3 linked regions of the Coturnix japonica genome follow. The protein of the gene in region 2 purifies or fractionates together with the protein of the main gene of each other region. This does not show direct contact. Links are inferred from orthologs where the notes say so. Each region holds a gene or a part of one and is shown on either strand. Other genes may lie near its edges.

What was found.
Region 1: the proteins of CYLD (region 2) and MAP3K7 purify together in Homo sapiens (affinity purification with western blotting; 4 studies listed by BioGRID, with this or other methods). This does not show direct contact. The link is inferred for Coturnix japonica from reciprocal best matches to the Homo sapiens genes CYLD and MAP3K7.
Region 3: the proteins of CYLD (region 2) and SPATA2L purify together in Homo sapiens (affinity purification with mass spectrometry; 3 studies listed by BioGRID and IntAct, with this or other methods). This does not show direct contact. The link is inferred for Coturnix japonica from reciprocal best matches to the Homo sapiens genes CYLD and SPATA2L.

The regions. Positions count from the first base shown.
Region 1 is NC_029518.1:68,414,095-68,417,746, reverse strand, and holds part of MAP3K7 (mitogen-activated protein kinase kinase kinase 7), read right to left. Parts: intron 1,050-3,652; coding exon 921-1,049; intron 1-920. UniProt on the Homo sapiens protein: Serine/threonine kinase which acts as an essential component of the MAP kinase signal transduction pathway. Plays an important role in the cascades of cellular responses evoked by changes in the environment.
Region 2 is NC_029526.1:5,107,600-5,111,251, forward strand, and holds part of CYLD (ubiquitin carboxyl-terminal hydrolase CYLD), read right to left. Parts: intron 3,456-3,652; coding exon 3,076-3,455; intron 2,099-3,075; coding exon 1,933-2,098; intron 1,179-1,932; coding exon 1,037-1,178; intron 137-1,036; coding exon 14-136; intron 1-13. UniProt on the Homo sapiens protein: Deubiquitinase that specifically cleaves 'Lys-63'- and linear 'Met-1'-linked polyubiquitin chains and is involved in NF-kappa-B activation and TNF-alpha-induced necroptosis.
Region 3 is NC_029526.1:16,724,872-16,728,000, forward strand, and holds SPATA2L (spermatogenesis-associated protein 2-like protein), read right to left. Parts: upstream 1,950-3,129; 5' UTR 1,920-1,949; coding exon 1,626-1,919; intron 1,555-1,625; coding exon 718-1,554; 3' UTR 624-717; downstream 1-623.

The sequences.
Region 1 (3,652 bases), on a different chromosome or scaffold from region 2:
GACAATGTTCCTTTGTTTACACTACAAACAAGTTACAGGTAAATAAAAAAGAAAATATGACTACAATTCTCAGGCACAGTGCCAGCCATCATTGCTTGCTTGTTAATTAGATCATCCAAACAAGTTCATTCTTTCTTTGATGGTGTTTTTCACAAATGGCAGAAACTCTTTGCAGACATTCAGTGAGCTAGCTATACCCCTACCATTACTGCCCTCTTCTTACAACTCTGATTTGCCATGGTAACTGAAAGTACTCTGTTAAGAAAGCCATACTACCAGAATTAAGATTTTACAATCTACTATTTTGACTAATATTGTACCACTGCTTTGTCCATCTTAATTCAATAATTTCTCCTGTACATTATACTAAAGTGCTTGGGACATGGTTCTGTAAAATACCTAGTACAGTAAAGTGTTCCTGCTCCTTGACTGCAGGACCCTAGATAAAACAATTCAAACAGCAGAATAAAAGACACAACAACAGTTGAAAAACAAAGTGACATTTATAGTTCCCCAAGGACCTGCAGAATTTAACAGTTTTTACATTTTAAAATATAGGTTAATTACTTAATAAAGGATAAAGATAAAGGAGCTATCTTTTTTTTTTTTAAAGTACATGACTCAGACCACTGTCCAATCTTTTAAAATGGGGAGTTGTAATAAATGTACTGCTTTTCTCCACGGTGTATTTGTACAGTGGTTACATGCGGCAGGAAATGCAAACAATGCAGCAGCCAAATAACACAAAAACCACACTAACATAGAAGTGTTAGTGTCTTAATATTTAATCTTTATGACAGAAGTCCTTATTAAATATAGAATTGAAAAACTAATAATTTAAAAATGCATGCTTCACAATGTTTAGCAAATTTATAGGTGAAATATACAACTTGAAATGCAGTCAAACATTTTCAACTCACCATTGTGAACTGCCCACATTATGCGGAAAGCTGGACCACCAATCTCATCAAAAGGTTTCCTGCGGGTGATTACCTCCCAGAGAATAATACCCCAACTGAAAACGTCACATTTTTCACTGTAATTGCTACCTGGAAGAAATCAGAAATATACTCTGTTTCTTTTTCACGTAACTTTTCTATAACTCATTTTTAATAGGTACAGTTCCATGTGAAAAATAGCTCTATATACTTCCTTTTACCTCATATTTGCTTTCCTAAGAAAATAAGGTTTTCTAAAGCTGTTTGATTTAAGCTAACTTAAGTCTGAAATAATTTGACAGTATGTTCATTAGGAATGCCTCTCTCTGGAAATCAGCTCATTTCACTTGGAATAATCCCGAAATGATAAATGAAGTCAGTTTGGTTTTATAACACCAAATGCAATTTATTACATTTCAATGATCTTTTGAATTCAGAACTGAACCTTGCTTCATCTAAATATTCTTGTTGAGCTTGCTTCTTCCACATTAATCATAATATGTTAGTCATCTTTGCCATAGCCTCTGCTTTCAATTAATTAGAGGTCTTTAGCAGAATCATAAAGTTACCACGTAAAACATTAGCAGATTCTCCAATTCACCATCTTGTTTCTTCTCTGTTTACCTTTCTTAATGTTTTTGTCATGCCACTATTTAAATCAAGTTCCCTGATCACAGGCTAAATATTTATAAGTCTAAGTTACAGGTGCAGAAGACATACAGGCAATATAACAACATTCAGAAACTAAAAGAGGAAAACTGTATGTTTTGTTGCCCTAACTCATGCAAATACTGAAAGAAATGTGAATGATTAATAACATGATAATGACAGCATATTTATAAATAACATGGATTTTTAAAATTAATATGTAATAAGAAAGTATTATTGAGACAAAGCATTTCATAAGTAGGAATTAGTGAAGCAGTATTTCCTAAGACCAGTTCTTGCAGATTGGACTATGAAAGTCAAACTGAATAAACAGGATGCAGCCATGTACTCTCTAAGCAAGGGCAATCATTTGAACTTCTCTCATCTATTGATATTACAAAACTCATAAGAACTTGATAACTCTGAAACCCCTTATACTTGTATCACAGTAGCTGAACGTGGCTAATGATTAAAAAAAATTCTGAAGGGTAATAACAAAGTCAGCTTTCTCTTCAAAAGGTAGCTGTTAATGATGACACATTATAAGGGAAGTAAAACAATCTCTGAGTCTATGCGGTGACAGCACTTCTAGCTACACATTCACTCCATCTTAGGCACTCCACTTTTAAACTGATTCTTCCCAATGATGGCAAGATAGGAGCCCAGCAAGAGCTTTAATGCTGCTGTGTTGAGCAAAGCACTAAATAACTGCATCCCTCCCCCTTTTGTCAAAACTCCTGCACGGTAAGAAGAAAGTGACAACCTTTACGCCTTTTGTCTCTGACAGGTCTGAAGAAGTCCCTTTTCAGTGGACAAAGCTGACTAGAAATGATACTTGGTACCAATAGAGGAGTGAAGACCCCGTGGTACACAGTGGCCGACAGACAGCCCATGATAGGAAAGTAATGCTGTACTCCTGTTTAAGCAAGGAAATTCTAGTTAGTTTGAAGCTGAAAACTAACTCTGAAAAGTGATAGTTCGAAACCAGTACCTAGCATAAGGGGGAATGTCCTATTGTTTCCTTATATAACAGGCCTAGGAGGGATAGCAGATGCATCACTTTTCAATATCCAATTATCTCAAAGCATTTTAAAAATAATTTTGACAAAGAGAGCTCAGAGCTTATAGTACTTTTTTTCTCTTTCACTTTATTCTATCTAAATTATAATATTTTCATTTAGACTGTATGATCTGTTACAAGAGTCTAAATGCCTTAATACTTAAAACTCAGAGGAAGTCATAATATTAGGAAAATTACATCCGTAATCACTTTTTAAGTATGTCACCTACAAGAGATAGTTCTTAAGCCTTTTTAGTTCTTGACTAAAACTTAGTAATAAAGCAGTATCAAAAAAATATTACTGCTTATCCCACTGTTAATTTCTGATGCAGTAGTACACGCAAAAAAAGTTTAACATTTTTGACATAATTTTAATACTCCTTTAGTACATTAATACTTAATTGACTGTCCCAAGAGTAATTTGATATGCTGCACCACAGAATTTACTGGATCCCTTGATCTTTCCTTCACACTGATTCTCACATAAAAGACTTGTGGCATCATCACTAAAAGCTTTCAGGAAAAGGTACGTAAAGCCAACTGCAAACTGAAAGCTTTTGCTGCCACCTAACAATAGATTTGCAATACAATATTTCTTTGTTCTGCCCTGATGAATTTATGTAGCAGAGAAATTAAGCTAAGCACTGTAAATCCCCACCATGGCGCTGCTCTTATTTAAAAATCAGCTTTTATTTTTTTCACTCAAAAGCAAAAATTTTGTTTTAACGCTGATAGGGCAATTGATAACCTCTAAAGGAAAAAGATATTCACACAATTTCATTTAACAGTAAATGTTAAGAAAGTAAGCACTCCTAGCTAAAGTTAAAGAAACAAAGTAGGTGCTCCAATATAAAGTGACATAATGGAAAATTTTTAGGCACCAGGGTAAAGCAGAATCATCCTTAGGTGATTCCCCAAGGTGACAAGTAGAAAAATGAGGCACCTTCATAATAAAAGCTCCAAAATTGGTGCCCAGGAGAAAAACCCTCTGAAAAATATTAATTGT
Region 2 (3,652 bases):
TGTCTCTACTTACATTCTAAGAGGATTCACAATCTCTGTTCGCAATAGCTCTTGAGTCTCACTATAATACTCTACATCATTCTTTTCTTTAGGTCTGAGTAACACAGTGTCCAAAACGGAGCTAAAAGAAAACAGGCTATGGAAGAAAGAAAAAGGCAGGTTGGTTTTGATTCTGAAGATAGAACCATTCTGATGCCTAAATAACATAAGATAAGCAAAGCAAAGCAACAGGAAGAATGAAAGAACAAAACAAGTGCAAAATGAGATCATTATGGACACAAGACAACACAGCTGTTCCAAGCAGTAAAGGTCTACTCTAACTGCATACCCTGATACCACCAGAATACAAAACCAGTTACCAAGGCAGGATTCCACAAGCAGGTTAAAAGTGTTCCTCTCTGACCCTCCCACATATTCTCTAATCCTTCAAAAGTCCATTGACTCACACTGTCTACAAGAATATAAATCATAAAACAGTGTGGGTTGGAACGGACCTCAAGGATCACCGAGTTCCAACTCCCCTGCTGCAGGCAGGGTTGCCAACCACTAGATCAAGTACTGGATCAGACTGCCCAGAGCCCCAACCAACCCAGCCTTGAACAGCTCCAGGGATGGGGCATCCACAGCCTCTCTGGGCAGCCTGTTCCATTCTCAAGGTAAAAAACTGCCCCCAGATGTCTTATCTAATGTAAATGTCCCTTCCTTTAGTTTAAAACCAGTCCCCCATCCTGTTGCTATCTACCTTAGTACAACACTGATTTCCCTCCTGTTTATAAGCTCCCTTTAAATACCCTTTGAAAGGCCAGTAGAGTTCGGACACACGGGTGACTGGTTAGCACTTCAAGTTAAGCAACAAATCCTGCAGAACTTCTCCAAACATAAAGGGCATAGTATGTGCTAAAGAGTGTAATGTATGACTTTTTAAGCTGCACAACAATAAAAACAGTATCATTACAAGGATTGCGTGTTCTGTGTTTCTAACATACCTCCCACTAACCCACACCTTGGGATGCCACTAAACAAATTGTGAACTTACCAGAATAAGGTGGAGTCTAAGTAACAGGAGTTGTAATGACCCTGGATACCTTTCTTCTTTCCAATCATTGTCTCTAAACCTTCTTTTTCCATTTTTGGAGGAGTGTTTTCTTCTACCACTTCACTTAAGTAACCTCCAAAGGCTGAAATTTTTTTTTCAAAAGACACTTTAAAGCCTCCAATTTTATCCCCCTTGAGATTTTCCTATTAATGTTTTATAGCTAAACTGCTGCCTTAGCACAAAACATTCAATTTCCAGACAAAAATAGCATTTTATTATATAAGACTCACTCTCTTCCAGAAAGTGAACAAGGCCTCACATTCCACACAGTGCACACAGGAGTACTTCAGATAGCCTGCAGCACTGAATTAATTTTGCCCATTAGGAGTGAAATTCCCAGTTTAAATGCCCTGTTCGCACCATCATGCTAATACCAAGATGCTTTATCCTCTACTGTTCTCCCAAGCAAAATGACATGACCCAAGAAAGCTAATAATATTAGAATAAAAAAAAAAAAAGTTAGCTTTTCCACCATTGATTTCCATTGTACAAATACACTCTTTTCTATCAGTATTTAGGAAAACATAATTTGACAGAAATATGGCTTATTTCTGATACTGCAATCCCACATTGCTGGATTTGCTAATACCCTTTTCAGCAAGACTGCTTCACAATTTCTGAAGTAAAAAAATACAACATAAATTCCCAAGTTTTATGACATTTCCTTAAATTACCACTAAGTACAAAAAAGCCAGAGAAGCATTATATTCTATAAAGATAGATTTTCTATTCATGAACCTCTAAGTAATGCCAATAGAGATCTCCAAGTGTTCAATGAAACCAAACCCCGTGTCAGTTCCCGGCTGACAAATAATAAATAAGCAGAAACTTGGTACCTAGAGAGTTGCAGCGTTCAATCTGATTGGAAACTGGCTGTAGTGATGCAAACCTGGAATCCGGTCTGCAGCTCTTCAGTTTAACAAAAAGAGCTTTCTTTGGAGCACAAGTGAAGTATCGGGTTCCTTTAAATGTTCCATCTGTACAACCTGCACATTCATCTTCCTGCAAATTAAAGTGAGAATTCACTGCTTTTCCTTATTTCCACAATTCTGTCGTGTGATGCTGAATTAAAATATCTACCCAAGAAATCACCCGTCGAGTACTCTGAAGCTTAATAAGCAATGTTGCTGCTTTTCAGTGTGTGTACAAAGCTTCAGCTGAGGTGCTGTTTGCCCAGATTTACTGAAAAAATTAAGCATTGCACTTTCTTCATAAGAAACGTGGGGGAGGCGGGAGATGAGAGCGAGAATTAAACCTACTCAACTTTAAGGACTTTAACTAAGCTACCCTCTTAATCCAGATACCCTCTGCAGTAGAAAAAGCAACCATCTTTTAGAACTCAAGTGAAATCATTAAGCATTGGAAGCATGAGTAATTTCAGCGTCGCTGTGGATGATATATGACACATCTGTCTTCAGCAACTGAATTCGTGAAGGGCTGGTAGGAACACCAAACACTTAGCTGTCAGACCACAAATAATGCTTCCATTGATTACCAAAATCAGTACTGCAACTCTGCTGACAGGCTCTGACACTGCCTGCCTGCTGGTGTGCCACACACACTTGAGGCTCTTATACCCGGGACTTTATTTATTTATTTTACAGAACTGTATATCGCAGAACCTTTAAATAGCATGGGGCTTTTCGTCTCAGTGACAAGCTCAGTAAGTAAGGTGGACAAAGGACACTCCCCTTAAGCAAGTAACCTACAAAGCAAATCAGTCACCTACAGTCCTTCTGATTCAATTATGCTTTGCATCACAAAGCCACCTCAGAGCCTATTAATGGAATAAGGCCTAGGGCATCTGTGAAAGTCAGAGTCCATCTGAGATTTCATCTGTGTTACAAGGAGATCACAGAGCAACTTCAGACAAATTTTCTTCTGGACTGACCACTACTGCCAAGTACACAGGCACCAACTCTCAAAAATAAAGCAGATAATTAATACTAATATGAATCAACTTATTAGATGATATTTACCAGTTCCAGTCCAGCCAATACTTCATTTACCCCAGGAGGCTGGCCAATCCAGCGGATTACTCCATAGAACGGCGGATTTTCTTTCACTTCAGCCAAGGAACCTGCTTCAAGACCATGTGAGTTACCAACAGGGCCTCCTGTTGATGGACTTTCCTGGCTAGGTGTAGTATTTACATCACCAATGACCGACTGAACAGATAAAGACAGAGGACTGTGTCCAATAGCACCATTAGTAGTTGATGCTTTTGTCAAACTAAAAGGGAGAGAGTGGAATCTGTTTTCTGTAGTCACAGAGTTTGTTAAAGGTGGTTGCAGTGGTGGTGAAGAATGCCCAAATCCAGGAGATGAATCAGTAAGTGATTTTGCAGGGTCTTCAGCAACTGTTAAGAATCAAAAACAAGATGTTAACTCCGGTTTTGTTTGGGGCATCTCCCTCTCCTTACCAAAGGGGAGGCTTAGCTGTCAAATCAATACATATATCTGCAACTACATCTGAATTAATGCATGTCCTGCATGGGAAGTGGTAAGCTGGAGGAATGCAGGAAGATGTTTGTCACTTCACAATACCAGAGACAGA
Region 3 (3,129 bases), about 12 Mb from region 2:
GGCCACGTTGCCCCAGACCTTCAACAGTTGCATTTAGGGGGGCTGCCTTGGCTACCAGTGCCCATGTTCAGCCCCTTGCACAGCTGCTCATGCTGGGAACATCCACAGCCTTCCAGCCCAGCAGAGCCCATGTGTTGTATAGTGCTGGCTTCCTTCTGTATGGAGCTGAGAGCACAGCACTGGGTGGGATTCAGCCTGTGCTGCCTCCTCCCCTGGGGGGGGATGGAGGCATGGACTGAAAGGGGGGAACTGGGGGTTGGTACAGAGGTGCTGGGTGTCTGGCAGGACCAGCTCCGGCCTGTACTGGCTGCGTGGTGCAACACTGACTCTGTTGTCAATAAAAACAGATACAAAGGGCGGTGGCGGTGAAAACTCCCTATGGCACTACCCAGGCGAGATGCTGAGCCTGGCCTCCATCAGCCCCACGTCCCTACCTTGGTCCTCCCTTGTCCTATCATTGCCTACCCATCTAAAAAGTCCATTCCCCTCCTGTTTATAATCCCCTTTCAAATCCTAGTAGGCCGCAGTGAGTTCTCCTTGCAGCCTTCCCTTCTCCAGGCTCACATTAAAGTTTTCCACCCCCCATGGCCGCCTCCTCTCCCTGCCAGAACAAAAGCACCGAGTCACGATGCAGCCACACTTTACTGGGAGGCATCGAGTCACTTACAGCAGGAAGCAGAGCAGGGCCCAGCTCCCCGCACCGCCGTGCTGTGCCCACTATGGCCGGGTGCTGGTGCCGTCAGCCAGCAGCATGTCCACCTCCGTGCGCTGCAGCCACAGCCGCTGCTGCCGCTCACTGCGCAGCTCCTGCCCGCGGTGCCGGCTGCGACAGGCCAGCCCGGCCGCGCAGCTCCCGGCGTGCAGCTGCTGGCAGGTGGTGCAGCAGAACGCGGGCAGCGAGCCCTGCTGCAGGCACGAGTGCAGCTGGTAGGAGGGCAGCTCGGGGAGCAACGGGGGGCTGCTGCCCAGCTCCCCCTGCTCCTGCTGCAGCAAGAAGCCAGAGGAGGAAGGGTCTGGAGCAGCAGGGCAGGGGAGCAGCTCCTGCCGGAGCTCGCTGCGTTCACAGCCGTCCCAGTCCCTCCCGAGCACGCCCTGCAGTCCCGCAGGGTCCCGCTGCAGCTTGTTCAGTGCTGGGGGACTCACATCCCGCTCCCCACCACGTTCAGGGCCGTGTGCCCTCTGCAGACAGCGATCCTCACTGCAGCCCGGTACATCCCCGTACCGCTCCCTGTCGTTGTCCCGGCCCGGCGCCGCTTCCCGCAGCATCTCCACGCAGGTCTCCATGTCCCCGGCGATGCGTCGCGCGTCCAGCAGCTCCTCGACGCTCGGCAGCTTTGGCTGCAGCCGCAGCAGCAGCTCGGCCATGATGTCGCACTCGATCCGGCAGGCGAAGAAGCCGCAGGCGGCAGCGCTGAGCTGGGATCCCGGCGGCGGGCGGCGCACGGCGAGGCGGCGCTGGTCCAGCCGCGTGTAGCCCAGCCGGGCCAGGCTCCGCAGCAGCTCGGCCTCGGGCAGCGCCGCCCGCAGCACGTGCACGTAGGCTCCGGAGAACGTCTGCAAGGACAACGGGGCGGCACGGGGGGGTTCGCTCCTTGTACCCACCGGCACCGCGTCCCGGCACCCACCTGTATGGAGCGGAACTCGGAGCGCCAGGGATACAGGTAGAGGTTGAGCGCCGCCCGCTCCAGCAGCTCGAAGGCGGCGGCCAAACCCCGCAGCGCCGGGCCGGGCTCGGGGCGGCCCCGCAGCGCCCGGGACAGCAGAACGGCCGCGTCGTCCTGCAGCGCCGCCAGCAGCCCCGGCTCCGACCGCAGCCGCTGCCGCAGCCGCTCCGCGAACGACGGCTCGGGGCCGGGACGCTCGTGGTCCCGCCGCAGCCCCCGCCGGTACTCGAACCGCACCGCGGGGCCCGCGCACATCCTGCGGGTCAGCGGCCCGGGACCGGACACCGCGCGGTACCGGTTCCGGTACCGGTTCCGGCCCCGTTTCCCTCCCGGTCCCACGCCCCGCCCGGCGCCCCCTGCCGGCCGGGAGCAGCGCTGCACTTGCCGGCGGCTCAGGGCAGGGTCCGCAGGAACGTGAGAGCGCTCTGCAGCGATGTCAGGCAGTAACCCTCCTCACCCAGCAGCCACCTGCACAGCACCGGGACAGCACCGGTATAACACCGGGACAACACCGGTATAACAAACACCGGTACAACAAACACCGGTACAACACCGGTACCCGGTGGGCTGGGGGCGGCAGGGTCTCGTCTCGCCCCCCCGGCTCGTACCCCTCGTGGATGAACTCCTCCAGCGCCGCACACTCCGACGGCAGCTGCGGCATCGCGCTGCGCAGCACCGCGTACGACAGGAGGGGCAGCAGCTCGTCAGCACCGCTACAACGTGCATCGGGGACACGTCAGCACGGGACACGGGGGGACTCTGCACCCACACCCCGGTCACTGCGGCTAAAGGACCCCGGGCCCACCGCCATGGCGATGGGATCATTGCCCCATCGGCCCCACACAACCAGCACGGCACCGCCGGGCCACAGCACGGCAACAGAACCAGCAGCTCCCAAACGGGAACAGCAAACCCAGTGCAGTACCGTTAACAACCATCAGGAACCATCAGCACAACCCACAGCAGGGACCACCGGGCTGACACACACCCCTACGGGAGCCCCCAGCCCACACACAGCACAGGGACCCTCCAGCCCCCGTCCCCACCCCACGGCAGCAGGGCTGCACCCCGCACTCACATGGTGCCAGCACTGGGAGCGCTGCAATACTCCTCGGCGCATTCACAGATGCTGCGCAGGGCTCTCACTGCAGCACAGAGCAGAGCACAGCGCTCAGGACCATCCCATGGACCCACAGCGCCCAGCTCACACCGCCCCGGCCCCCACCGATGCAGTCCAGCTTCCTGCGGGGACACGTCTCCAGGGGGATGAGGCGCAGCTCCTCGATGGCAGCTCCATAGGGCGGGCGGCTGGACGTGCTGGGGAAGAGCCGAGGGGACAGCCCCAGGTCTGCGGGGCTGGCGTGGCGGTGCCGCTCCATGCTGCGAGCCAGGGCTTCCTCCTGGGGCCGGTGCACGATCCTGGGGACAACAGGGTGGGGGATGGTGGGGGGGGGCTGTAAGAGCA